Linked DNA regions of Lepisosteus oculatus. The protein of the gene in region 1 interacts with the protein of each later gene in a pairwise test. Links are inferred from orthologs where the notes say so. Each region holds a gene or a part of one and is shown in the gene's direction. Other genes may lie near its edges.

What was found.
Region 2: the proteins of spred1 (region 1) and il16 interact in binary tests that used the Homo sapiens proteins (3 or more experiments, as listed by UniProt). The link is inferred for Lepisosteus oculatus from reciprocal best matches to the Homo sapiens genes SPRED1 and IL16.
Region 3: the proteins of spred1 (region 1) and PIH1 domain-containing protein 2 interact in binary tests that used the Homo sapiens proteins (3 or more experiments, as listed by UniProt). The link is inferred for Lepisosteus oculatus from reciprocal best matches to the Homo sapiens genes SPRED1 and PIH1D2.
Region 4: the proteins of spred1 (region 1) and ncaldb interact in binary tests that used the Homo sapiens proteins (3 or more experiments, as listed by UniProt). The link is inferred for Lepisosteus oculatus from reciprocal best matches to the Homo sapiens genes SPRED1 and NCALD.

Annotation. Positions count from the first base shown.
Region 1 is NC_090703.1:14,754,032-14,762,044, forward strand, and holds the start of spred1 (sprouty-related, EVH1 domain-containing protein 1), read left to right. Parts: upstream 1-4,996; 5' UTR 4,997-5,568; coding exon 5,569-5,600; intron 5,601-8,013. UniProt on the Homo sapiens protein: Tyrosine kinase substrate that inhibits growth-factor-mediated activation of MAP kinase. Negatively regulates hematopoiesis of bone marrow.
Region 2 is NC_090700.1:42,407,426-42,415,090, forward strand, and holds the start of il16 (pro-interleukin-16), read left to right. Parts: upstream 1-4,651; 5' UTR 4,652-4,807; intron 4,808-7,665. UniProt on the Homo sapiens protein: Interleukin-16 stimulates a migratory response in CD4+ lymphocytes, monocytes, and eosinophils. Primes CD4+ T-cells for IL-2 and IL-15 responsiveness. Also induces T-lymphocyte expression of interleukin 2 receptor. Ligand for CD4.
Region 3 is NC_090718.1:15,289,150-15,296,224, forward strand, and holds the start of PIH1 domain-containing protein 2, read left to right. Parts: upstream 1-4,058; 5' UTR 4,059-4,146; intron 4,147-6,230; 5' UTR 6,231-6,237; coding exon 6,238-6,420; intron 6,421-7,075. Other genes in the region: uncharacterized protein NKAPD1, read right to left, coding at 325-471, 1,442-1,545, 2,571-2,647, 2,849-2,858.
Region 4 is NC_090705.1:9,133,166-9,140,410, reverse strand, and holds the start of ncaldb (neurocalcin-delta B), read left to right. Parts: upstream 1-4,223; 5' UTR 4,224-4,310; intron 4,311-5,683; exon of another isoform or gene 5,684-5,863; intron 5,864-7,245. UniProt on the Homo sapiens protein: May be involved in the calcium-dependent regulation of rhodopsin phosphorylation. Binds three calcium ions.

The DNA of each region.
Region 1 (8,013 bases):
GTTTCTGAGAAAACAGGCTTACAGTTGCATCCTTCTGATTTTTTCTTAGCATTCTTTCTTTACATTAAGAACACACACAAGAGGTTCAATTTTATTTTGATTTATCTAGTTTGTCCTTTAGGATATGTAAAATCCAAACTGCATAACTGAGTCATTAATTTGTCCAAGGTGCAGCCATTTGCATTTCTCCCCTCTTAAAGCTAACACTTGCTTTTCCAAACACAGGCGAGTTTGTCTTTGTGGGTTAAGATAAGACCCTTGCAATTGAAACATTACTAAGTCTAATAAAGTTTAAATTTATTGCTCTTAGCATATTTGTCAGCTGGAGAAAATCTGAATTTTTTTTGTATTTTGAGTATAAGGTAGGTTTGTGTTTGTAATTGCAAGGTTTTTGTCTCCCATCTTAAGGCACTTAATTGTGGAAACTGAACATTCACGTCTATAAAAAGAACAAAAGATTTCACAATGCTTTCAAAGAGAACACCACCATAATTATGTATGGTTCAGGTAGTATTAGCTGTTTAGGAAACATTCAGATAAAGACTAATTTTGGTGTTGTGTTTGGAATATGTTGAAGGAACTAATTCTAGAAAGTCTAGGATTTTAAATTTAAAATTGAATTTTAAAGTACAACAAAAAGTTTACATTACAACAGCTAACCCTGTAAAAGAAATCAGTTCAAAAAGTAAATCCAGTATTCACTCTAATGTCATCATATAAGATACTGTACCAGTTAACTATTGCCTCCTGGAAAGGATTAAAATTGTTAAAAAGTGCCTCAAGATAAAAAGAACATATGGTGATTACCATTTTAAAAAATACTAGAGAAAGACCAAAATATGAATAAGGATAAATTTGTAGTGAGTACAGTTACTAGCTGCATAGGGGTTACATAATCCTACCTCTCTCCCTCACAAGTCTATTTTCAATAGAGAAGCTAAAATGCTTTGACATGTACACTTCTAACTTCTGTGAACATCAGAATAAGTGTATGTGTTTTGAACATAAACTCTGTATCAGGTATAAAGGACATTGCTCTGTCCGCACTCTGGACAAGGCAGTGATACAGTAAAAGAATGCATGTAATCTGCCTGAACACAGCTCGTTTGTCCAGTTCAGTATCAGTGACAGATGGTACTGTAGCTACAGCAGACATAACTGTGTGGTACTCTAAGGGATTTTAGGCACCCCTAAAAAGTCTCTTTTCAATACAAGCATCATTCCAAGGATCTTAAAGTTAACCACCATCATCACATGTAAACTGGACTGGGACTGAGATTTCCAATGTTATGAATCTTTACCTCTGTTTAAGTTAAAGTAAGAATGGTTACTGAAATGCATTTAAAAACGAACACCTGCGGTTTAATCACACACCACCAAAGAACCTAACATTCATACATAATAATGTATGAATAAAGAGAATATTTTACTGTTGTCACTGTATAAGGCTGTGGCGAAGAATGTATCAAGACTAAGAAACTTCACACATAACACGCTACAGTCACTATGACAACCAGGGAGAATCATTCAGTTAGATCTCGGTATCTAGCACAGTAAAGAAATCCATTAATATCTAAATCTTTTGCAACACTTGACTGTACATTTTATTTTTTTGTATATACTGAAATTTTTTGTTTCTTATCATACGTGTATGTCTTTTATTTGTTAATGGGTTCATTTTGTGTTAAATGTATCCTGTATTGTGCTATGTCTTTTACCTGACTGCAAACCAAATTTCCCATATGGGACAACAAATTAAGTACACTATTTTTGTACATATACTGTAGACAATGTAAAGTTACACATTACAAAGATACATCCTTAGCCATTGCACCTCTAAAATGTATGAAGCTACTGTATTTGTGTTGTACTTTATGGTTAAGAATACACATAACAATACGATACTGAATTATTATTTGTGTTAGTTGAAAGTCCACTTATTCTTTGAAGTGATCTTGATTTTATTGACATGATATCAAAAGGCTAAGCTGTTCTGGAATTGGTAAAGAACAACTTTCAAAATGTTTTTAAATGTACATTGCAAAACACAGAACTTAAACATTGGTCCACATATTGATCTCACTTAAAAGATAAAATCTTCATCACTTCCAAAGTGTTTTGACTGCAGCCTATAGGGCTCATTATTTTTATTATTATTTATCATCTTCATCATCCCCACGCTGCATAGGGCAGGGAAATTGACAACATTTGCTAAAAGCATCAAAATGTCATTACTGGCACGTTACATCTCTGATAGCTTGACCCGAGCATGATTTCATAGGGCATTAGTGGGTGTGCACCACCCACCTTTGCTTCTTAAACAAAGTGTATAATGCGCAGTATGAGAAACAGCAGAATACCCACATAGTTACCTTAGGGCCTGGTGCATATGCTTCCTGTAAAAGCACTGCAGATATTCACCCTTGTGAAGCAAATACTGAGGGTCATTTTCAAGTGAGAATCAGGTGGGCACGGTCTGCATTGGATTGCTCGGAACACATTTTACACAAGTTCTGGGTGAGATCTTGGACAAAAGGCAGTTTTTTTTTCTTTTTTATATTTAGTTGAAAAAATAAGGTACTTATTCTTCTAATTCTTTGTATCACAGAGGATATGTTTATTTTTTAAGGCTTATTACTTTTTTTACCAATACCGTAGCCATTAGGCTTACAGTAGTTTCCATGGCAACAAATGCAGAGGCATCAGATTTGAGCTCGTTTTTATTCTAATCTAGCTGAATTCGTCTTGAGTTGTTTTCAAACTACAGCGTAACTCCAAAAGACTCAAAGCTCTGTCTATATAACTTTTATCTGTATTTGGAGAGCATATCACTGACGGTTAAACAATTTGCGCAATTCTCAGTACAGAACCCATTTTAGAATCTATGTTATGCTGTTATTTTATAGTAAATACCATTCTAACAGGGGTTGTGGTAGCTCAGATGGCAAGGGTGTCTAGCTTCTGACTAGAAGGTCCTGGGTTCAATCCCAGGTAGAGGCAAGTGATATACAGTATCTTGCTCTGATTCCTTCCAGACAGCTCCCAGGTCTACTCAACCTGCTTTCCAAGTCAGTACTGGGGGGTCAATCCTTCTGGGGGTAATAGGCCACCTGGAGTGTGATGTGGACCACATCACCTCCACTTCCAGTGTCAAATGGTCAAGAAAAATGGTGGCCCTCAACCTCTATTCCCCCATAGGCCTTGATGGCCTGAAAAGGGACCTACCTACCATTATAATATATACATTTTTATGCAGGAATAAAATTCTAATCTGCAATTTCAGTTTTATTATCATTTTTATTTTAAATGAAAATGAGTTACAATGTCATTCTTCAATAATTAAGTAGCATTCCAAATGGTATTTGACCTTTCGGAATAAATTTCTTGGTGTAGAATTGGGAAAGCAATCTGAAAGACCTTTATATTCAATTCTCAGCATTTTTGTTCAATCAAAAACCTGTACCCTGTATGAAAATCAAAAGTCCATTAAGTGCCTTTTGGGACTATTTTTAAGGTTTCAGTTTTTTTTTTACTAGCAGAAAAATATATTCATATAAGTTAAATATACAGTATATATAAATATATAAGTGGCACTGGAAATTAGTTGCCATTTATCAAAGTTAATGTATCATGCAGGTTTCACACATGTCCAAATACTGGGTTGCATCTTAAAAAGGGATTGGAAAGCTAATTCCACTGTCAGTTTAGAAACTCATTTAAAGTGTTCAGTTTATGGAGAGGTTAGTATGATGTAGCTGTAATTAAAACTATTATTAATTCACAAACCTCAATGTCGTGTTTGCACATACCTACAGCTCCGTTTCTTCTGTAATTTCATTGTCATTCCAGATGCTAAAGCAGTGCTTATAACAAAAATATTCAAACTAAATTGAAATTATCATTGTTTGCTGTTACACCCATAACTTTAAAATACATTATGTATCGTTAGAGTGAAAGGTAGAGTACAATTATGCTCCGCAGGGTTGAATACCATGCTTAAAGTATTTTCAAACTAGTTTCTGTGTTTAGGCTGTTTAAGGACTTTCCAATTGTCAAACTCCTGCCTTATCCCTTCTTTAGGTATCCTCTCGCAGATTGTGTATTACAGGTCTTTGACGAGTCATGTGTAAAATAAGTGACTTTTTAACTCTTATTTTTTTATATTTACCATTGTCCCCTGAACATTACCAAAAACATCAACAATAGAGGTAGGATAAAATGTCTAAATACCCCTTCTGCGAAGAAAAAACGTGAATCTTTTCTAAAAAAACAGAAGCCCAAACTGCATTTCATTATGCTCTAGTTCGCGGCCGTCATTCAGCATCCTAACATTATCTTTACCACTTAATACGAAATGTGCCATTTTGGAGAAGCACATGATTTGACGATTTATTTTACACGGGTTTCGGTCAAACTGGAACCTCTGACCCCTTGACAGAATTTCATTAATCTTCTTCACTTGCATATGGTTATATGATGTAATCCCACGTGTTAAATCAGTTTCCTAAATGCTTCTCCTCAACACGTCTCTCTGCGATCCTTTCAAATGTAACATATAATTCAGCAAAGCAGCTCCATCTTGTTGTACAAACTCGAAGCATCACATATTAACCAAAATCTGGCTTAATGCGCTTTAATACCATGCTGCTATGCGATGTTAATTGTAATGCATTGCATTGCTATCCTGACACACTCAACCTTGCAGATCCAGCTCTGCTATGCGTGCTATCACACAGACTCGTCCCTTTTGTACGTATCACTGCACTCCTATGTGACTGAGAGGCAACTTCTTTTGGGAAGTGCGCGGACTATTTTGTGGCAACTTTGGGAAAACAACGCAGCCTGACCACAAACCCTCACGGGACGAATATTTATTTTTTTAAAATTCAGTTGTGTGTGAATTAAAACCCACGCGGGCTTGAATGTGCTCAGAAAACATCCATTTTGTTGTATTTTGTCAAATTACCGCGGAAGGATCCAGCCAAGAGCTGAGGTCAACGCTTCCGCCCAGTTTTCCTATGTGCACGGTCGAGTTGAAAATGGAGTTCGAGGAAGGCAGATGTGTTGTAACTTCTCATTGAATTTTAGCGCTTCTTTCGCCTCGTTTTTGTAGAAAAGAGAAAAAGAAACTTAACTTTTTTCAGTTCTGAAGGTTGGAATTATACACCGACGAAGCAACCCTACAGCCCTGCTCTGTGCTGGTGTCCAGAGTTGCCGAGGGATTTGCTACCAATAACGTGCCAAAATTGTCGTTTTGTGGTTTTATTAAAGCGCTGGAGTTAGTTGATCGTTGCTGAGGGTGATGGTGAAGATGTTGATGTTGTGGTGGTCGGATTTTGCTGCAGGAAGAGATATGAAGAGCACCCGATTGCTTTTCCCTTGCTCGATTTAGTTGCTTTTGGTTTCTTGCACAGCGCTGTGATGCAATTTATGTTGTGAACCCTCTTTTTGTTATCCAAATAAACTGGCGTTTTTGTGTGAAAGAAAATGGTGATATTTGCGGCTAATTTTCTCACCGTGGCTACGTCGTCGGTGCTACTGCTAGGATTCGGATCCCGGTGAGAAAAAATGAGCGAGGAGTCGGCAAATCCAAACAACGAGTAAGTTTGCGTTTTTATTTTTGCGTTATTGTTAAATGTTCTTCGATTTCTTGGTTTTGTATTGCTGGTTTCAGTGGGTAGCTTAGGACTTCATACTACAGCATTAGTACCGGAGTATAGCTGGGCTATAGCTTAAGATGACTACCTAGGTGGCTAACTTAATTTAAAAAAAACACATGGATACTAGAGAGAAAAATGCAACACCATAAACAGCACCCTAAATGATACACTTATCAATGCAATTTGTCGGTGTCGCTTGGAAAATGGATGATATTACATAGTTAAATCGAATGTCTATTTTACATAAGATGGTAGGTATTTATGGTGTTTTTAATCGTCTTATTTACAATTAATATCTGTAGAGCTCGTCAGGTTCGCTAAATACTCCTTTTACAGTATTAATATAGGCTTCGGAGCGATTTGCTGGATTTGCTTCGGGGAGTACTAATATAATTTAATACTTATTTGCTGATTTTGTTTTATAGAGACTTGATTAAGACCGCAAAAAAAAAACGTTTCTGAGCGGTAAAATTTAACTAAATTTAACTGCGACAACAGAAACTTCCGTTTGTTCCTGTCCTTTAAATCTGTCTAAAATATAATCTTTCACTATTTTACGTTTCGAAAAATCACCTACCAAAGATTTCGCATTTAATAGGCGTTTTGGATTCCGGGGATTTCTAATATGTATTTTGGGATGTTAGTCTTTTTATGAGAAGGATAATAATATTAGAGCATTTATTTTCATTGTCGATTTTTTTTATCAATAAGAATGTCTCTGCTTGCTGCAATGTCAGTGACTCAAAAAAGCTGAAGACGCCATATTTTTTTCTCAATCACACTCATTTGCATACCACAATCTTCATTCATAAAAAATGTTAAAAGAAGGAAGCGGCACCGAAAATCGACCGAATTTGTGGCGCAAATGTAAGGGGACCCTGCTTGTTAACGTCCCGAAGTTTCGTTTTTACACTGGGGCTTTATTTCGCCTTGGAAATCCAGGGTGTATAAATGGGCTCATCGCTGCGTGTGCTTGTTGACAGTCAGTGAGAAATATCAGCTCAGGGAGGTGCTGCGATCACATGATCATTTCCATTCATAAAGTACCTGGCTGCCCATTCATTGTACACTGTACATACAGAGTGTCTCAGCACTGCACGGGCGATCACACAAAGATTCTATCCGCAATCGAATAGCGGCCAGGTCTTGTCAAGGAGATGGGAAAACCGTAGTCAGCTGCCACTCCTTGAAAAGACAGCTATGTTCCCCTACCGTACAATGCTGGTGTCGATACTGTACCGCACCTTCGTTTGGTGCACGTAAGAAAGTGATCTTAGTCAAAGGGCATTCACATTCATAGACTCATGGAAGATGGGGCTCAACTGAATTAAATACCATTGCTCAGCCCAAAAGGAGGTGCCTTAAAATGTGTTCACAGTGGGTTTTTAGCCGAGTTCTATTCCATCTTATTCGTTTCCTGCATCATTTTGGATTTAAGCATTTGAGGTGAAATTTGTTCCACATCAGCATGTCTGCAGACTCGGTATTAACAATAATCCATGGTATTAAAACATGTGATATTGAATTTACCATTGAAGCCAGTGTTAAAGGCCAAATATTTATTCCATGGGAAATGTTGGTTTTAAATAAGGCGTTCTGGGATTACATATGCTTTTGATCAAAAAACAATTATGATTTTCTGAAGTGCACAAGAACACACGTACATATTTCTGAACACAGATGGAGGCACAAAGAAGCTGAATATTTCCGAGATCTGTGGGGATGCCATTTTGATTCGTTTAATTGTAAGATAAACCTATGTTGAATGATTCGTGTGGGAAAAAATAGCTGATGTTTGTGAGAATGAATGAAATATGTAGACCATTGCTATGTGTACAATATTGAAATGGTTTTGGGAGATTTTGTCTTAGAATTTATGGCACATCGATGTGTATCAGCATCTGCGGTCTTGCCTATATGAACATGGATTGTTCTTCATGCGTGCTCTCAACACTGTCCCCAAAATCTGTAGGTTTTTGTACCGTGCGACCAAATCAGATTGTTTTAAACTGAATGGAAGCATTTTGCTGAAGCTTTTTTATAATCCTTTTTTCTTTATCTTTGGAAGTTGTTAAAATCTGGGCTCCCTTTTTATGTTAATGGGAACAACAAATGTCTGTCATGTTACGTGTTGAGGATCAGTGACTATAGACTGTCAGGCTTCAGGATGAAATTTACATCCTTTTCTCTGTACATCTTTATTAGTCTTAATGTAAGCCTGTGCACAAGAATGGCTGAGGTTAGGGTGGAAGATCTCTGTTGCAGTGTATAAATGTGGTGACAACACAACTACAGTTTCCTTTTTCTCGGCTGTTCCTGAGGGGGTCTGTTTGTCGTGAGCGAATTTCATATG
Region 2 (7,665 bases), on another chromosome or scaffold:
GTATTCCATACCTAATCCCACAGACCTGTAAATCAACTTTATGTACAGGTATTCCTAATGAAAACTCTTTGACCCCCTCCAGCCAGGCTGGAGTCTACACCTTTTCTCAATGCTGTTCTTATAAACCTCTTAATCAGCCTAGGGGGCTGATCAATCACACACAGCCTATCACAAGCTCCTTTCCCTCCTGTAGAATGTAATGAGTACTAATTCATTCATAGCAGCTGTGTCTCATTCAACAGATTCTTCCAAAGAACAATTGGCTATCCTGACAATCATTTTCCAGATACAGCAGCTTGTGAATTTGTTGCAATCGTAGAATATTTAATTGTAATACGTTTATGATGCTTAGTATATATTTTAGAAAGCTCCTGTTATGACTGTACTCCTGCGGCGTCTCTCGGCTAGCAGTAACCCTGGGAAACTGTTATATTCTTACAGGGGCTCACGGTTTTCCAGGGCTTGTTTGTACTACCGAATCTCTTTCTAGTGAGCTGCCTTAATTAACATTGATCCAATTCATTATTAAATTTCTCTTTCTCAATTTAATGCCAAGGTGCCGCTTCCATGGTGCTTTATCATTATTCCTTTCACCGTCCTGTCTGCACTACAGTTTCCCAAAGTCCTGTACATCGGACAGATGCCTCAGCATCTCAACACCAGGATTCCTCTCCGAAGTCAAATTCCCATTCTCTCTCGGGGCTCGGCAACAGGATTCCACTCCAAGACCAAGATAACCAAGCGTCCTCCTTTTTTCTGGGAGCTTAGCACAGGACACCAGTCCTAAACTGCGGATGCCCTATTCCTGGTGATGGCCTGATTCGTCAGGCTTGAGATCTCGACGCCAACCACCCTCGTTTCTCGCTGCTGCAGCAGTCTTCTCTGACTCTAGGCCAGGATTTCAGGTCACCCTGCACTGCAGTGCTCCATTCTAGTCTGTTCTTACTCCAGTCCAGGACTTCACTCCAATCTGCACCACAGATCTTATACCTGCCTGAACGTCAGCTCCTGGCCTCTGCCCTGGAACCCTGGGCTCCTTTCCCCTGGCCTTCTTCTCCTGCGGTTCTGGCCCACTTCCAGGAGGCAGGGCTATTCCCTGAAGCCCCTTTTCCCTTTGCCTGGCAGAACCGTTCTAGTTCTCTCGAGTCCTGCCCTAGCACTTCAGTTTTTCTCCTTCCTTTTCTGTTCTTCACCCTTTCTCTTGGGCTGTCTGGGTAATTTATTTATCTTTTTCCAGTTTCCTTCTAGTGCCCCAGCAGAGCCTTTTGATCTTTTGTAGGGAGCCAGGCATCCTGATTCTGTCTGGTGCCTGCAGAGCATCACTCTGTTAGCCAGAGCTCCATGAGGATTCTTAGTTCTCAGGCTCTGACTGGGACAACTCCCCGCTGCTGTGCTGATCTGAGACTCTGAGAGTTGAGAGAAGAATGAGGTAGTGTCCCTTGCCTCACAAATGTCTCTCCCAGTTGGTCCAGAGGGGACCTGGGTATCTAATCCTGTTTGCACCCGGGTGCCTCTGTCAGAGAGTTGAACCCGGGAGACAGAGCTGACGGTGGACACCTGGCCTGGTCTCGAAGGAGGCCCTCCATAAGGGCATGCGCCATGATTTACCAGCTCCTGGGCCCTTTGACTGGACCATTGAGTGGGGGTGTCCTGCCTCACTGGTTTTGGTGAGACCCCTCCTCTCAGTAAAGCCTACAGACCAAAGCACAGCTAGGTTCTGAGGCGACTCCCTTTGTTTTCCCTGTTGTAGACTTGTGTTGACGTGTGTTGACCTGTGGGCTTGCCAGGCTGCATCCCTGGCTACTTAGAGGGCTGTTTCACAAAACTGAGAACCCTTCCATTTGAGGGCTTGGCGGTTGGTTCTGTTCCAGAGCCAAGGGTACCAGATCCTGGTCAGTGGGCTGAGCGGTTAAACTTGTGGCTGGCGCTTTGCTGTGCCAGCTCATCTTTTTAGTCACCAGGAATGCAGAGAACTGCCACTTTTGCCCCTCAAGAGCTTTCTTTAGTTGCTGACCAGCTGTGGCTATCCTTGCTCTGCTGGCCAGTTCTGTCTTAGAGTTTTCTGCTGTCTTTTTCCATTACTGACCGGCCTGGGCTGATTAAGCCCTGCCAGCCAGTAATCAATTATTCTATTGAATATTAATTAATCAATTATCACCTTTTTCGTTCCCAGTTCATTTTCTCTTTTCCTCTGTCCCGGAGCACTCGACCCCACAATCAGTGGGGTCTCTCTGGGTGTTCCTCCACTCTCGGTCACTTGTGCTTGGGTTCTGACAAATCACCACACTTGGCATTACAGCTACATGTAGGATTAACGATGAATAATGTTTAAGAATTTTCTATTATTAATATATTCTATACATAATTCGAGAGAAAGAAGAGGTAGAGAATGAGTTTGTTAAATCCTATAGAAACACAATGTGTAATGGATAAATCCAATAAGCATCTCTTTCTTGTCATGTTGGATCAATATCACCATTCCTCAGCGTAATTTGTTCGCTCAATACCGATGAATTTTAACAGACACAGAATGTGTAAACTCAGGATCTTTTCTTGAATAGTACCTTTGTGCTCACCATCCTATGTTTTCACTACACTGATTTTTAATTGTCTTTTAGATTTACCAAAATGCTGCATAGGACATTTAAAGACATACATCAACTCAGACACAGCATTCTTGGGGGCCTATTCTTAATTTGAAAGACTATACTAGTAGGTGGATGATAATCCACACACCTGAAGAAGCCTCCACATCCGAAACGTTGTGTTCTCTTTCTTCTTTTTTTCAGCATGGAATAAACCTATTACTTGTTCCTTTGCAGCCTACCCATGCTGATGCAGCTACCCACCTGAACTACAACCGCGGTGGATGATAATGTTTGTCGTACTGTATGTGTTATTACAAGCAGTTAAAACATAGAATATTACTTTTAGTCTCGATAATATAGAGTATTTAGACTGTAGTGTCTACACCACTGGTGAGGATGTGATATTTTGGTACTGTTCTTTCTGTTGAAAGTAAACTGTAGCATGGAAACAGCTGTCCATGGCTGCTAACGTCAATTTTCCTTTGGCGAAAAGGGAGGATGAAAAGTTGTGAGCCTCTCCTGTAGGGTTCTGATTGAATGAAAAGCTGATTAATATATACTGTGCACAATATATTATATTTTATAAATATAGGTTATTGTGCCTATGTTAATATCAATTAATCAACATGATAAATATCAATTGTTTAAATGGAAAATCAAGCTTATTTCAAAAACACGCCTTATTTTAATGGGGGTACAGGAACAGGAGGTTGTGACAAGGGTGCAAAAATCTCTGAATACAGAATGTATTACTAAGAAAAAAAACTCTTTTGCTTAACAATGTCTAGCATGGAACTGTAATAAATAATTACGAATTCAGACTCCACCTTAAACTCTGGCTGCCCTGCCTTGCAGAAGGCATATATTATAACCTCTTCAGTGTGGCAGTGCTCTGCAGTCTCAATTCAGCCTCTGTCCTTGCCCTTGTTTGCTTTGGGATTCCTGTCTGCACTGTGATTCATAGAGTACCCCACACCACACTAGCTGCATTCACAGCTTCTGTTTTTATCAGCACTAAGGAGCCTTATGCAAAGTGTGCTTGCCTGGGTTAATCAGAGCTCTCTGTTAACGGGAAAAATCCCCTGTGAATTCTCTTGAATCCCAACCCGTGTGTCAGGAGGCCTGCATCTACTCCTGCAGGATAAATAAACAGAGGCAGACTCAACTGTAACACTAGGCCTGTTCATGGATTAACTGGAACAGATTTTAGGCATTTTAGTGATGCTAGCGTGACATCAAACTTCACTCTATGTTTCTGTCTCCTTGCTGAAGCTCAGCCCTGAAAGTCATTTTAAATTATTTTTGAACAATGTTGCATTTTAACCCTTACATCTAAAACCTAAATATTTTTAGGTTTAAGGTCAGTAGAATGATAAGGGTTATTCACAGTGATAGAAGTTGCAGAGATCTGTCTATTATAAAGCCTGTTTGAAACTAATTCTTTTTATATCAGCACTGACATATCAGACTCCATGAGCTAATGTATGGCCTCAGAAATAGTTTTCCATGTAAAATCAATGTAACACACAGTTTGTTTTTCACTTGCAAGATTCCAGTGTCAATGGAGTTGAAAACAAAACTTCTCAGTTTTAAACCTTGCAGTGCATGACAATGAAGAAAACATCCAAAACTAAAACTACAAATCCATACCTATGATACTACTTATTTCCTTTGCAGTGGGCATGCATAAAAATATTCTTGTGCTTACAAATACGGTCCAGCATGGCAAATTCATTCTTTCTTCCACGCATTCTTTTTTCAGATATGTTACAAATAGTGACAATTGCATTATGAGCAAAACACGTTGGAACTGCTGTGGAACTCTGAAACTCATTAGGCAGACATGAGTCACAGTGAGTCCTAGAAAAGCTATGTGTTTTTTTTACTAATTTGTACGACAGGAAAGGGCTAAAATTTGGTGGCTAATGCTACAAAATATCATCTTTTCTGCTCCCAGCTGCTGAAATGAGAGGGAGGGCGGTAGCCAGGAGTACCCAATCTAAATCATTGAAAGTTTCTGGCAAAGAGTTCAGAAAACTGTGCTGAGCAGCAAAGCTGGTTTGTTGAGCTCTAACACATAGTATTTCAGCACCTAAACCCAGAACTAGTGTATATGAATTTCCTTTTTGGGAATGATTCGGAACTGAAACAGATCAAAACTCTTTTCTCCCTGAAGACGTAAGGTGAATCAGAATTATGAAAAAAGATGACCAGATTTGGTAAGTAACAGATCTTTTTTTAATATATTGCAGATTACATAAAAATGATACTGCCTTTTTTTAGGGTCATTTAGAAACAGTTTCTAATGGTGAACTGAAATGTAAATGGCACTTTAAACACCAGAATCAACCATATAGACAGAGGTGCTTAGTAGAGACCTACTTAAAAAAATAACTTGCTGGAAATTATACAATTAATGCACAATCCCAGATGGAGAGAGAGACCTCTGGCATAATGCACCATGCTTTTATTTATTACTTTTTTGTGCACGTTCTTCAAGAGACCAGTTGTGGGCCTCAGCTTTGCAGTATATTTCAGATGCAAACATCTGTATGGATGAAATCAGGCTTTATGCCAATAATTTAAAACCCAGAACAGTCACTGCCTCAAACACATTGTATTTATTTTGGTAAGGGAAGGAGAAAAAATAAATGCAAATAGAAATTCCAAAAATAAATTCCTTCAATTCAGATTAACAGTATAAAGCAAGATCATTTGTGTTTGTAATAATATATGAAATGTATTACCTATTTAAAAATAAATCCATAAGGTGCTGTTTAATAATAGTTAAAAAAAATGTAAGAACCATGTAACAGTACAGTTTCAATCTTAAAGGTGAACTTGCTGAAATGAGGTTTGAACATTTAAAGAAACAAAATGTTTTAAAATTGTTTTAAGTGTTTTAAACTCACAGGTTTAAACGTTAAGCTGCACATACAAATTACAGGCTTTATGTATACATTTATTTTAGGTTTTGTTGAAAACGAAAAAGTAAAATAAATAAAAACGGAAATACCTGTGAAGCTGCTTCATGTTAGTGGCATATATTAAAGAAGAGAATGCAAAATCTCTGGACACAGTTGTTTGGTTGCTCTCAACCAGCTCTCAGCTCTCAGTCAGGGCTCATGCTCAAGGACAGCCAGTATCTTTCATGAGTGAGTGAAGTCCAGTGGTGATCACTTCACACTACAGTCATGAGTAAAATCATTACCACTGTCAGTATTATTCAGAGTATTTCAGATTCCTTCAGAGTTCTTCAGATTCAGAGACAGTTTCTTCCCACAAACTGTCAGATTAATGAACTCTACCCCTACCTCTGGCTCACACTGATATATTTTTAAGTTGTATGTTATTTAACTTGTTGCTGCTGCTGCTGTTCTGTGATATGTTTTTGGTGATTCCCTTAATGTCTTCGTATTGGAGCACACAAATAAGCATACAGTATAACATATAAACTGAACTGAATTATTAAAGGTTTTTCCTAAAAAACTGGTACGGAGATTTTTAAATGCCTTTTTTGCACTATTTTATATCTTATGCATAATTAAACAAACACGCATCCACTAAAATCCAGGGAGTGTTATTTATAATGGTATTTAGGTCTGTGGCTATCAAGATGTGCTAGAAATGATTAACATGTATTTGATATGTTAACACACTCGAGTATTTCAGAACTATATACAGGGTTAGTCAAAATGATGTAGACAACTTTGACAGTTTATTACAAATTAATTACATGGGTTACTGTGACAAAAAAGGTTTCAAATGAAAGCATACAAATCAAGGTTTCTAACAGTTACCTTACATCTGTGGAGGAGAAAACAAAACTTTAGTAAAATAATTGGCATTTATACTTGTCGACAACATTTTGACTAACCCTGTATATTATGTACAATAGGGAAATGTTTTGAGATTACAGAGAATTGCTTCTTCTTCTTAAGCACAAATAACTTTTAAGTAATGATTATTTAGAGAGCAGTGACATACAGTATTATACCTAGCCTATTGAAATATAAAATCACATACTGTAGCTCCAAATTGTCTGATTAACCCAGATATTCACATTACTGCAAAATGTGAGTCTCTACTGCAAATGTGCATTACTGGAGTGGCTTTTTGACTTCAGAGGAGTGTTTACAAACCAGGTCCTGAACCTGCAGAGTAGAAAATGTACATTCCCGTCAAACAATTTGACTCCGAGAATTTTTTTCTTTTCAACGTTTCAAAAAACAACAAAATCAAATGTCTAAGTCATTCCGTCAGTTTCGTTTGGTAATCCTTTTGCATTTTTGATACAGAGTTAAATCAATCTTGCCCTCTGTCTGTGGCAGGAATATTGGATTAAAGAATAGGCTCCAGATCAGAGGGGCAACCACAGAGCTCCTACACAGCTGTCACTCTCCACCACCCCATCCATTAAAACATACATAAAATAAAAAAATCAACTCCTTATAGAAACTGAAAATAAATCACTGGGTCTTTAAATTTTTGCAGCACTGCTCTTGCTTCCAATTTTAAGATCCAGTTCTCCTTATAAACTAAGTTTTACTTGACTCTTGATTGCCAGCTCCTCAGTGCTGCTAACGGCGAAAAATGTGTTTTCTGTGTTCTTTCCTTCCAAGTCTTGGCTAAGGTTTGAAAAGACACAATATTACTGCTCTGTGCCATTACATCAACATATGAGTAGCAAATTTCAAAGGAAAGTCGGAGTCACACTGCAGTAATTACAGGAATTAATGTGCATGCTTTTTTATTTTGAGAAGTCAACAGTGAAGCAAACTCCATTTACAGAATGATGGATAACTATAAGCAAAAGCATAAGTAGAATTATAAATAACACCAGTGTAGTTTCCTTTGCTTGAAAGGAGATGGGCCTGTATAGTATAAGGGTTTGGTGTGCCAGGCAGCTTGTGTGGAAACATGAGATAAAGGGAAGCAGGGAACACTTCCTGCAGGACCTAGTAATTACACTACATCTCACAACACTGCTGCATATGGAAATATGGTACTGTATATATCAGTGATCGTCACTTCTGCCCAATATGAATATAAACTTCTGATTGTAATTCAACCTCAG
Region 3 (7,075 bases), on another chromosome or scaffold:
GAACAGACAGCAGCGTGTTGTTCAACATCACTGAGCACAGCGCTAGGAAACAGGCAATTGCACAAACCTGTATGTACAGTAGATGTACCTATAAGGGACACAGCTGGATTCCATGAACACTAGGAACACTAGATCAGACTAGGAACTAGTCAGAGTGGTAACAGTTACCCCAGATAATATGAGGAATGCCATTTACATTGCAAGCTGCTGCAGCTACTGTAGTAAGAAAATGTTTGTGCATCAGGAGAATCAGCCTTCTCAATGCGCCTGCGCTGACATGTCAGTGTCAGCTGTTTTAACGCGGATGACTGGCCAGACACCAACCTGTCGGGGTCGCCGGCCTCGAACTCGTACAGCTTCTTGGTCCAGTGGCGGGCCTCGCGGACGTCTCCCTCGGAGCTCTGCGCCGTTGCCGCCCCCCCGTCCCCGGGGAGCTCCTCCTCGTCGAAGCCGTCACAGCGCATGCGGCCCCTGACACACCAAACAGCACAAAATTACCGTTCCTCCTCGCAGCTCTGCACGGCCAGTTTCAAAGGATCGGGAACCGTGCAGGGGTCTCAAAACAGGAACTGGAACAGAAAAGCTGGAACCAGACCCAGATCCTGTGTGAGTGCGCCCTAAGCAGGAATGCAGAGTCAGTGATTTTGAACAGCAGACAGCGACACAACCTGGCCTGTGCTGATAGCATCCTGCAGGACCTCCTGTCCAGGGCACTGGACACTTTTAGAAATCAATCAGTCCAAGTTCTCAGAAAAAGCTCCCCATGCATTGTTCAAATCTTCATGAAGGTAAATTATTACTGATCCCCATTTGTAGAATCAATAGGCTAAAAGCCTCTCTCATTGGTTAGTGTTTTAAAAAACTCATTCATTTAGCATCTCTTTAAGCCCAGTAATGTAGTCTTGGACAGAACCCTTGTTAAACAGAATGCTAAATAGGATATTAAATAGAATTTGCCTTTTTAAGTTGTTTTGTGTCTTGAATATAAGGAAGCAATTCTATATTTTCTATGCAGGTTGAAGGCAGGTCTCTGGTAGCTCACTGTATTGTACATAGCTGTATATAGCCATGAAGACCATGTGCTGTTTGCTTGTGTAGCTATAACAACATAAATATTTGTCTTATTAAGGTCCCCCCTTTTACTCTATTACCAAGCTGTGTTGGAGAAGCTAAGAGCACACATGCTGGTAATGCTCGGTATTCCCTTAAAATCAGGGTTGTTATTATTATTGATATTAGAATTTGCTATGTTTTCAGGACCTGATTTTTGGATTTTAATTTGACAGCTCCTTTTTTATACACTCCCCCCCATTTATAGTACAATACTTTAGGTTTCCTGTAACTTATATAATACTGCAGGGTTGTCTTTCTAGGAAAGATTAAGAACACTATTGAACACCACAGCCTGCTGTACAGAGCTCTTATTTAGGAGGATGCAAACCTGCTCAGGTCATGATCCAGCTTTCGTCGATGCCATCTGGCATGATCACCCAGCGTCTGGCGCTCCTTCTCCCTCATCTTCCACATCTCCGACTCCTCCTGGATCTGCCCCACCAGGAAAGAAGGAGACAAACGCAGGTGTGGTTACAGCTCGGCAAATCCCGATCACCAGCACCACAGCCTGACAGGATCTGGCAGGATCTTATAATCATAAGAGTAATAATAATTGGAGTAATAATAATACTGGAGTAATAATAATTGCTTACAATTATTATTATAGTTATAATAATTATTATTATTATAAAAGCTTATAGCGCTTTTCTGGACACTCCACTCTTCTTTCTGTAAGTAAGAATTCCATTGTACCAGTACCGGTTACATATGGCAATAAAGTTCAAGTTCAAGTTCAAAGCGCTTTACAGGTAATGGGGATCCCCTCCACCACCAGTGTGCAGCCCCACCTGGATGATGCAACGGCAGCCATAGTGCGCCAGAACGCTCCCCACACATCAGCTCTCAGTGGGGAGGAGAGCAGAGAGTAATGTAGCCAATTCATAGAGGGGATTATTAGGAGGCCACGATTGGTAAAGGCCAATGGGAAATTTTGCCAGGACGCCGGGGTTACACCCCTACTCTTTTCAAGAAACGCCCTGGGATTTTTAATGACCACAGAGAGTCAGGACCCTGGTTTTACGTTTCATCCGAAGGACGGCGCCTGTTTACAGTATAGTGTCCCCGTCACTATACTGGGGCATTAGGACCCACATGGTCCACAGGGTGAGCGCCCCCTGCTGGCCCCACTAACACCTCTTCCAGCAGCAACCTTAGTTTTTCCCCAGGAGGTCTCCCATCCAGGTACTGACCCGGCTCACACCTGCTTAGCTTCAGTGGGGCTGCCAGTTGTGAGTTGCAGGGTGATATGGCTGCTGGCGATGAGGACGATTCTGGATTGGGGTACCGTCTGGGTGGGTTTTCTGTGGTGTTCCGGTTTCCACATTCATAAACAAATCCATGCTGTCCTGGTTAACTGACATCTCTAAAGTCGTGCGTGTGTGCATGTGTGTGTGTGCGTGCGCCCTTGATGTAGTCTGATTAGTAGCACCTGGAGTACCTGATGAACTCCTGCTTACCTTATTATGAGCATCTGTGTGACGGATGACATTTCGGAGAAGCACCTTTCCCATAGGAACACGAGACATGATCAAACCTATACAGACAAAAATGTAAATACACTTAGCCAGGGCAACTTCTTTTGCTAACATGCAAGAAGATAGAAATTTCTTAATCAAGGACCCTGGACTTTGAATTTGCACCCCAAATGTACAGTCGTTACAGTTCAGTTTCATGCCCCAGGTTTTCACAAATTAGCACTATCAAAACACAAAACATTCAGGCGTCTGCTGAGTACCTGAGCTCATACAGGTCAACCAGCCAGCAAAGGTTTTCAAGCATCATGCTGGAACAACAGACATCACACGCAAGACCTCAGAAGCTGATTATCATATGAAAATTCCAAGATTTGCTATTACATGTGCTGAACGTGAATCTGTTGGGAGAACTGACACCTAGCCTAACCAGGAATATTCTAAAGATGGTCGCAAAGAGGACTGTTGTGAGTTTATTGAAATGTCTCTACGCTGGAAAAATCTTAAAAGTCCCTTTTCAAAGCAACAACTCTTCAGCGTGGCAGAAAGGCTCAGCCCAACTGCACTGGCAGTGCTTAAGGTACCCCAAAACCCTCCTATACTCACAAACCCCCATGACTCTGGTTTTGAAGACGTTCATTTTTACTTTTACAGGAAAACACAAGTCTATAGCCCACTGGTATAATGTGGTAAACAATTTGCTTCATGAATACAGCGGTTTGATTCCCTGCTCGCTCCTGGAAAAGCACAGGGAACTGTTGACTTTATTCCCGTGTTGAGACATGCAGGCGAAAGCCTAGCTGTTCCCACTGAGAGCTCCCACACAATTAAGTAACAAAGAGACAGCAGTAGCGCACACACATTTTTCACGTGTGTGACGAGCTCCTGTAGAAGCTGTTTCAGGCTCTTTTTAGGCTCAGCAGGAGCAGTTTGGTAAAACGAAAAAGAGGGGCTCCGTTATCGCGAATTCCCAAACTTTTCATTCGTGTCTTTCTGTTTTAAATGCGGAAATTGTACCGAGTTCCATTTTCGTTTTAATACCGCCTGCCAGCTTCAGTTGACTGAAGGATGAATACCATTAAAATACCAACATAGTGCATATAAATTGATTTTGTTAATAGGCTGTTAAAATCTTACCTTTTTGTTACAGTAATTCTTTGTCCTTAAAACAAATCATGTTATTTCATCCCACTGACTTCCTCCGCTTCTCTGTTGTTTCACCGGACGTTGTTGTCATTGCTTAAACGTCCCATCCTGTTTTCCTCGCTAATAAAATATAGTGATATAAGATAGCAGTTAGGAACAATTAAACACGGTAGCACCCTGCGGTACATCGGAGGAGTAAACTGAGAATAATGTAAGCGGATACATCCATTTCGGCATTGAAAGAGACTGCATGACAGAAGAGTGTAAATCGAGGTGGGAACCAATATTTCCAGCCTGAGCTCCCACACGGATTGACGGACTGCGTTTCTATAGTTACCGAGAAGCTACAACAGAAAGGCATAGACGGGAGGCTGTGGGAAGATTTGAAAATCTCACCCAAATATCGCACACCAAGGTAGGCAGCATTTTAGAGCAGGACAAATGTGTGTTTGTATAAAAAAAAAAATACATTAATGTGATTGACTTGCGGCATTTTTATTTTCACTGTTATTTTTTTCTTTTCTGTTTTTATTAGCCTAATGATTATAGGCAATATATTATCGAAGTTAATTGGAAATCCCGAGTTATACGTCTTCATAATATGTATATATCATGAAAGGTGCTGCAAAGGAGTCACTGTCTAAGACACATTTTATATTTGCAAAGCCTCATAAAGTCGGAATATTTCCATGCCTAAATATATTTCCAGTGCAGTCCAAAGACAGTGACACGGGTATTGTTGTTTTGGCTCTGTACTGCAGCACGTTGGATTTGAAATGAAACAATGACTATGGGGTTAAAGTGCAGAATGTCAGCTTTAATTCAAAGATATTTACGTCTGTATTGGGTGAACCGTATAAGAATCACAGCCCTTTTTATACATAGCCCCCCCATTTCAAGGGACTAAAAGTAATTGGACACATTAACATCATCTTAAATAAAATTGTCATGTTTAATACTTGGTTGCAAATCCTTTGCAATTGATGACTGCCTGACGTCTGCAACACATAGACATCACCAGACGTTGGGTATCTTCCCTGGTGATGCTCTGCCAGGCCTGTAATTCAGCCATCTTCAGTTCCTGCTTGTTTCCAGGGCTTTTTGCTTTCAGTCTTGTCTTCAGGAAGTGAAATGCATGCTCAATGGGATTCAGGTCATGTGATTGACTTGGCCAGTCGAAAACATTCCACTTTTTGGCCCTGAAAAACTCCACAGTTGCTTTAGCAGTATGTTTGGGGTCATTGTCCTGCTGCAAGGTGTAGCACCATCCAATGAGTTTTGAGGCATTTGGTTGGATCTGAGCAGATAAGATGCTTCTGTACATTTCAGAATTCTTCCTGCTGCTGCCGTCTGCAGTCACATCATCAAGAAAGACAAGTGAGCCAGGTCCACTGGCAGCCACACATGTCCAATCCAGGACACTACCTCCACCATGTTCCACAGATGAGGTGGTCTGCTTTGGATCATGAGCTGTTCCCTTTTTTTTCCACATTTTCCTCTTCCCATCACTCTGGTACAGGTTAATCTTCGCCTTATCTGTCCATAAGACTTTGTCCCAGAACTCTACAGGCTTTTTTTATGTACTTTTTAGCAAACTGTTACCTTGCCTTTCTGTGGCCTTTCTTACCAGGGGTTTGCATCTTGTGGTGAACCCTCTGAGGTTATGCTGGTGTATTCTTCTCTTTATGGTAGTTTTTGACACATCTATACCTACATCCTGGAGAAGGTTCCTGCTCTGTTCAACAGTCGAAAAGGGGTTTTTCTTCACGATTGAAAGTATTCTTCTGTCATCACTACTGTGGTCTTCTCTGGTCTACCAGGTCGTTTGCTATGCTAAGCTCACCAGTGCGTTCTTGCTTCTTAATGTACCAAACAGTTGATTTTGATACACCTTCTGGCTATGTGATTGATTTATTCTGATTTTTCAGCCTCATGATTGCTGTGTTAATGACATTGACTCTTTTTTGTTCCTCATGTTGAGAGACAACAGCAACAGACTCCAGACGCAAGTGTCACACGAAGAATGAACTCCAGACCTTTTCTTAGCTCTCTTGTGCAGGAACTAACGATGCAACGACACACAGCTGGCCAAGAAACAACTGAGCAGCCAGTTGTCCAATTCCTTTTGGTCCCCTAGAATGGGAGGACTATGTATAAAAGGGGCTGTGATTCCTATATGTTACACCCAATATAGATGTAAATATTCTTCAATTAAAGCTGACATTCTGCACTTTAACCTCATAGTCATTGTTTCGTTTCAAATCCAATGTGCTGGAATACAGAGCCAAAACAACAAATATTCTGTCACTGTCCAAATACTTATGGACTGCACTGTGCTAGATTCAGGAATGACAGTGTGATATCTTGGAAGAGAACTAGATATATATTTTTTTGACTGAACATGTGCTTATTAAGTTTTCATGTGATGAAATTGTGTGTCTGCCCAGTACCAATTCCCTCTAGAAGAAGAAGGGTCACCTGTGTCCGTTTCCCCCACAGGCGCGGCATGGCGGCTCCGTGCTCCCAGCAGGCCGTGCTGCAGCAGGTCAGCCAGCTCTGGTCCCTGCTGGACGACCTGTCAGAGAGCAGCCCCGAGGGCTACCGCAGGTTCATCCAGCAGCAGCTGAAGGACGGGGCTGATTACTACAGCAGCCCTCAGGCTCACTCCTGTCTGCGCACTGAGATACTGGTACACACTCCCCCGTCTTACTCCTGTCCGCGCACTGAGATACCGGTACACACTCCCCCGTCTCACTCCTGTCCGCGCACTGAGATACCGGTACACACTCCCCCGTCTCACTCCTGTCTGCGCACTGAGATACCGGTACACACCCCCCCGTCTCACTCCTGTCTGCGCACTGAGATACCGGTACACACCCCCCCGTCTCACTCCTGTCTGCGCACTGAGATACCGGTACACACTCCCCCGTCTCACTCCTGTCTGCGCACTGAGATACTGGTACACACTCCCCCGTCTCACTCCTGTCTGCGCACTGAGATACTGGTACACACTCCCCCGTCTCACTCCTGTCTGCGCACTGAGATACCGGTACACACTCCCCCGTCTCACTCCTGTCTGCGCACTGAGATACTGGTACACTCTCCCCCTGTCTCACTCCTGTCTCTACACTGCTATACCGGTACACACTCCCCCGTCTCACTCCTGTCTGCGCACTGCAGTACTTGTACAGACTTTTTTTACACCCCAGTAGGTGGAAATCGCCTTACATAATAGGAATGCAGTTTAAACACTGTACAACCCCAGAGCTCCAATTGCAGTTTGCTGTCAGATGTACCTGGGGATCAAAGTGAGGAAGAGGTGAGAAAAGAGATGATTTAATCAT
Region 4 (7,245 bases), on another chromosome or scaffold:
TTAAACAAAATGAACTCACTAACTATAAATAAGTTGGGATTCTAAATAAATGTATACTTGTTTCCCGTAAAATGTTTGAAGACCTACTTTTCTTATAAGTCTATGAGGCTTTTTTTTGTTGGGGGGATAGTGTATATGATGTCCATGCTTTAAGGTTCAAGTTATACATTCTGGAGTTCAAATGTAATCATTCACAATTTAAAACTGATTCTGAATTATTCTGAACTTAATTTCAGTTTCTGAAGCCTTTAAAAAAATAGAGCTTTACTGTACACGGTGGTACTCCAGTCCCTGGAGCAATAAAGTCCGGTCCCCGCCGTAACCTTCAGTAATATTATCGATTCAATTGTATTCTTGCTACGGGTCGTTTTTTAGCCGAAGGGGTCCTTAACGAAGGAAGACCCCTGGGAGCTGCTCCCTGGTCTACAAATGGTAGAGAACCGCTCATCTAGTCTACTTGCATTAATGTCAAGGTTTCGCACAGGTTCACAGCATGCAGCGTGTAAATAAATAAATATGTATGCACTGAAAAGAAAAAGACTCAAATCACCGTTCATCTATTAGAGTACGACAACAAGCAAAATAAATCACAAAACATGATTTTTTGTCTGTCATTGAATATGTGCGGGCGAACATTGGCTGAATCTCACGCCTGTTCAGGAAAAGAAGGAAGAACCGCAATGCTAGCTGCATCAAAAGAAAACCAGCATTTGGCGAAGAGCAACTTGTCTTCACAGCTTCAATGTGCGGTGCTTAGACGCCATCTGCAGGATAAATAGTCTCACACACGTTTTTAAACCGCTGGCGGGATTTCCATTTCTTGAAAAAAAAAAACGTCACAGAATCTTTAATGTCCCGTAACGGGTTACGAAACGAGCAGCGCCGTTAATATTTCTGCCAGAGCACATTCACCTTGTTAACATTGAACCCAAGAATTAAACAAATAATAGCAGTCCGGGTGTTATGGTTTCAGCATTTCAAGGCCAAATATGACACTATAAAATCAATTAAAATATAAGGATTTGCAAATTATAAGAGGCAACAGACTACACCTTAAAATATGAAACATTTAGGGATGTTTTTTAAAAGCCGGCAGAGAAAATCAAGAACTTCTTTGAATTGTGTTAACTTTCCTCTAGGGTTAAGCACTACATACTCAGTGTGATCAAAAAAAAACCTGAGACCAGAATTACTGATTTATAATCTCAGAGGTGGGTCCAGGAGTCATAAGAAAAAGACCAAAGGATTGTGTAAAAAAGGTGTTTGTTTACTTAATGTGCTCTTTGTTAAGAAAATACTTGTAAAAAAAAAGAGGTGAAAAAAGACATTCCATTGAAGAATGAACAAACTCCATCCTGTGTTACTATCGCACAGACTCAAAACTAGACTTAAACAGAATAACCTGCTACACCAGGAGTGTCCGTTCAATACTCCGATATCCTCCCTGGCACCAACTGATGGACAGGAAGGAAATTTCCATTTAAAGCAGAGATGAGTCAGGGTCTGAAACCCGTCACTGTTCCGACCACGGACAGATGCCCGTGTCGGGTCTTGTAGGAGACCCCATGCGATGTGGTAAGAGCTGGAGAAAACAGAAGACGTAGTATGGGAAAACACACAGGGGTTTAATAGTGCACAAAATAACAGTGACAGTCCGCGAGACAGTGAACGGGGGAGACAAAGAACCGCATCCAAATCCAAAAGGGTCCAAAGGCAGGTCAGGGCCCAGTCCGGGAGTCCATCAGCGAGTAATCCATCCTGGGACGCGACAAGGTTAAAATCCCCCGGGAAGGGGGAAAACACGAACAGACAAAACATGGAGATCCGAGGGTGATGTGGGCGAGATCCCCCAAACCCCGGGCTCAGGAAGCAGGAGGTGTCGGGGATGAGGCCTGTGCCCTCAGGAGACAGACGTAGGGTATCCTGGTGCCAGGCGGGCCTCGCGACGTGCTTAATACACATAATCGGGGGCGGAGCAGTGGCTCTGTGGCTAAGGATCTGCGCCTGTGGCTGGAAGGTTGCCGGTTCGAATCCCGTGACCGGCAGAGGAATCCTACTCTGTTGGGCCCCTGAGCAAGGCCCTTAACCCCAGGGGCGCTGTAAAATGGCTGACCTTGCGCTCTGACCCCGAGCTTCTCTCCCTGTCTGTGTGACTCATGGAGAGCAAGCTGGGGTATGCAAAAATTCCTAATGCAAGAAATTGTAAAGGGTTAATAACAAGGTACACCTGGGGAGTTAACGACAATGACAGGAATGATAACGTGAGTAATGGAGCGCCCTCTAGGGAGGGTTGTCGGGCCTGACAGTCACAGCGTGATGGAACAAACATAACGACTAGACTGTTGGATTCACAACAGATGAGACAGACACAAATCTACCCATACGTACATTGGTACGACACTGTAACGATACATTCCATATAAAAATACAAAGAAAGTGACTTTGTCAGGGGTTTTATGGCAACAAATTTTTACATTCCATATAAAAATACAAAGAAAGTGACTTTGTCAGGGGTTTTATGGCAACAGGTGAGTAAAAAAGGTGAAAAGGTTTGTGACAGACCTCAGAAGAGGTCTTGTGACGAGGGTGTGCACCAGTCCTTTGTCAGACTCGGCGGTATCATCAGACCCCTCCCAAGAAGATAAGCTTGCATTCACTGAAACAAGCTTTGCCTTTTAAATCCCCCTTAATCTGTTAATGTAATTTGCTTTGCGTATGTACCCATGGGCGCAGCCAGGAATGAGCATTTCTCCGTAGTTCACAGGTAATCAGTAAACATTGGACCAGTCATAGCATGACAAGTCCAGGACTGGATTATATTTACTGAGCCCCTGAGCCCTGCCACAACAGTAGGCAGCTGGTTTGGTTGGCTGGTCGGACTGGTTTGTCCCATTGGTTAGTTATCCCACCTCTAACCACTGACTTTCGTCCCACGCGCAAAGAACGTCACAATGAAGTCACTCTTTTATACATCTGGAGCTCAGCTCATTGACACATAAATCTGCTTAATGTGAATGATTGCTGCTCATTTTCTTCAAGGTGGATGGTGATAACTGCTAGTTCAAACCCAATCTCCCAAACCTACACGCTCTTGTGTATATAGTGAGGGCTGTAGTGTGATACACGTAGGAGCTTGGATTTCGACTATGATACTACGCTTCGGAGATCCCACTGGTTTTTTTTTCTCCATGTGTGTGTTGCAACAATTTTAGGCCTGTCTAATAGTGGGCCAGCACTGACGCAGTCTCTGTATGTCTACTGGGATAGCTTAAAATGTAAGGCAAAGTAACATCTCCAAAGTGTCTGCAGACCATTGAATAAAAAGCAACCTTGGATAATTAAGCATACTGTAAGATAAATGAAGGCATAATGTCTTCAAATTCTCACAATAAGCCAAGGGAAAACTTTGGCTCTTGAATAGGAGACCACAGATGTAAAAAACAATCTATTTAAATCAGCTTGGGTCATTACTTCAATGCTTACTACAATATGGTGCCGCATGTTGTATCATTTGTAATAACCACATCCAGACAGGTACTTCTTTTTTTTTTTACAACAACATTTCTTTATTAACCCTTTACAATTTCTTGCATTAAGAATTATCTTTTCGCATACCCCAGCTTACTCTCCATGAGACACACAGACAGGGAGAGAGCCTGGGGTCAGAGCGCAGGGTCAGCCATTGTACAGCACACCTGGAGCAGTTGGGGTTAAGGGCCTTGCTCAGGGGCCCAACAGAGTAGGATTCCTCTGCCAGCTGTGGGATTTGAACCGGCAACCTTCCAGCCACAGGCGCAGATCCTTAGCCACAGAGCCACCACAGGTACTTCTAGAGTGTTACATGGGACCCTCTAGGAAATTTGTACCTCGATTTCAATACCTCTGTTCAGCACTTTCCTGCTAGGCATATGTACAGTAGTTCAGGCTTTACAACTTCAGAAGATAAAGAGCTTTGGAGTCATATTTCAGGCATACTGTAACCATACAAAGATTAAACGTGGTTTTCATTCACATAGGTAATATCTGACACAACTAGAGAATAAATAATAAATAATTGCATTGTAAATCTCTGCACTGCAAAAGGGCGGTAGGTCCAGACAAGATGGAGATCCTGTGCATGAACTACATTTCCCAGAATGCTGTGTGGGGCGTGAGCTGCCGCCCTTATTTAAAAACACCGGAAATTGAAGCTCTGTTAAGGTGGTTTGATTTGTTGTTTGAATACTAAATACCATGTGAAACTTAGGAATTGGGAGTTTTTGAAGTGAGTATCTTTGGAAGACGTCAAAGAGTCTTTACTGCGAAAGCTGGTAAGCAGCTCAGTAGCCCGTTTATTGATAGAGGCTGAGGAAGTCTAGGCTTTCATTCTGTCTTGGTGGTTTTGCATTGTTTCCTCACAGTGTATTTATTTTGAAAGGCTGGTTTTGTACCTTGGGGCTTTGCTTTTGTGAGACCTGAAGATAAATTCGCTTTCTGCGACACCCCCAAACCGCAGGTGTGCCGCAGTATGGGCGGTAACACTTTCTGATTCCCTAAAAAGCGACTTTGAAAGGAAAAGACATTGTCCCAGCTTCAGGACAGTAAACATTACACATACACAGACGTATGCGACAAGGCATACGGCAGATCAACATTAATGCGTTTAACGTTGTACAATTATCTTTAAAAGGCTGCATATCACTAACGGGAACGTGCAGTAAGAAAACATAATTTTGTGGGTTTATTGATGCGCAAAAAGCCTTTATTCAGTATTGACTACAGACTCAGCATGCTGTGTTGGCTATACATTATATGCTTGCATGTCCCATAGTGTAAAGTATGACTCACAACTGTAAATACTCGTTGAAAGTAGCCGCATGTGACGGAATATATATTTTTATTTGTTTTTCTTCAACAAAGAACACCCAGGAAGTGCAGAATACAACTGCTAATGTTATTCTTCACTCCACTAGATGGAGGTACTGTAACTGTATTTATTACCTTCACAGCGTCTGTCCGCTATGATCAGAAGATGATCGTGTGCTTTGCTCCCACTCCTTGTCAGTCTGCTGGAAAATGATGTATACCATTATATTATATATTATATTTTTGTACCAGCTTGATACCAGCTCGTGTGTTCTTCTTACCTTCAGCAAAATGCTAATTATTTCGATCATATCCATCGAGAAATACGATGTGTGAAGTGTTAAAATGTGACGTTCGAACGTATTTCAATATATATATATAATTGCAATTTATTTGGCTTAAGTTAGAGGAAATCTCTAGTGAACATCCTCCTAGCAGCCTCTAGGCGCTTATATCACAGTATTTAAAGTGTTGCTGCACTTTAAAGGTTCCTTTACATTTGTATTTTGAAGTTTTATAGTCTTGCTCTTTTTAAAAAAAAAATACGAGACCTCCCAGCCTTAAAAGTAGGCTTTGCTTCGCTGGTCTGACACACAAACGTCCGAAACATTAGTCTTCATCTTAATGAGGGCAAGGGGTGGAAGACGGCGAAGGTTAGTTATAACGCTGGAACGTGTGAAATTAAGCGAGAAGGAAGTCGGGCAGGACACGGTGGGTTTAGTCTGGAAACCCCGGTGCCGGTACCGGTCGCAGCCGGGGGAGTTTGCGGTCTTTGCGGCGCGCGCGCTTCGTGCTCCCCTCCCTCTCGCGACGGAGTGACGTCATCAGGAGGGGGGTGTCTCGCATATTCTTCTTCACCACGCAGAGCAGCGAAGAGATACACGATAACGAGGAGCCCGCTTTCTCCAAGTCCAATTGGCCCGGGAGATTGTGAACAACAGTGTTGCTCTTTCCTTGACTGGGGTTTTTTTTTTTGTTTACCCAAGATTGCGTGTATGCAAGGCCGAAACCGAACAGAGTAAGTTTTCCTCTTCCACATCCACACATAAACATCTTTTTTTTGTTGTGTTTTTTTTTTTTACAACTCTTTGCTATGCGGGGAAATTGCGTGCGTGCGATGGGGGCTGGAGGGGTTAGGGAAGCCGCGACAGTTCTCAGTGGCAGACTCAGGGGAGAAAGTTGTGTTTTCCTTCTTTGAAGCGACCGCCCTCATCCGTTGTGCAGGGGAGAAGGCTGTGCAGAGCGAGTGTTGTGCAGTGAGCAGCCCGGAGAAAGTAAAGCGATCGGATTGTGCAGTTTATTTAAAGAGGCTAATCACAAAGACGAATCTTTGCATGACCCAGATTACATATTGTTTTTCCCCCCTCGGCAGCCACCTGCAGCCTGTGAAATAAAATCCAGTTTGCACGCAGATATGAACGCCTCTGCCGTTCCTCCTCGACTGCAGCAGTCTTTGCAATAAGTGATCGTGTCGGGGGTGTCCGGTTATGCGATACTGTCACAGTTAACTCACGGTACAGTGGATGCATTCAGTTCACTTCACTGCGTGTTACCCTAACTAAAGCCCCTGAATTAATTACCCTGTCTCTTAGATTTTGCGCGCTTACAAAACATGTTTTACTTCGTTAGATGCGTTTGATTGTAATATAACGCAGATATAGTTGCAAGATAATTGCAGATTAACTGCGTGCAATTAGTGTGAGTGGGAAGTGCCGTCGTCTTTTACATACATATGTTTTCCTAGTTGGGGGGAAAAAAAAACTGCCCCTTTCAACTTTAAAAAAAAAAGGGGGGTTTGTTACGCTTGAACACGTGACAAAGCGATCGGGTTAGATATTGCGGGTGGGGTGTAAAAGTTAAAGGCTGGAAATGGTGGAACCCGCGACAAATTCGCCTGCAGTGAACTGGTCCATAGAAGCGTTGGAACGGTCTGTAAATTATTCTATACACTGGTGTTGCACGCTGGACAGACCGCTGTTTAACAACTCCAGGTTGTTAAATGTGAACGGTTATACCAGGCACATTTCACCGTTAGTAATTCAATGAATTCGGACTTTTTACATTACGTGATGGGTGGGGATTGTGCCTCGTTAACATAGAGTTGCTGTGCGTTTTTGTTTTTATTCCTTTAAAAACTAATCTTAGGATGCAGTATATTCTAGGAGCCCTGCCAGTGATTTTATCGACATCATAAACGACATCATGACCTCATTGATTTAGGTCAAAGTCTCAGACCTTTGCTTTTTTTGATGTTCTGCCACACCCCATCGATCCATTTACTAACCGCTCGTATCCAGTGCAGGGTCACGGGGGCGCCGGTGCCTATCCCAGCAAGCAACAGGTGCAAGGCAGGGTACACCCTGACTGGGATGCCAGTCCATTGGCAGGACACGCATACAG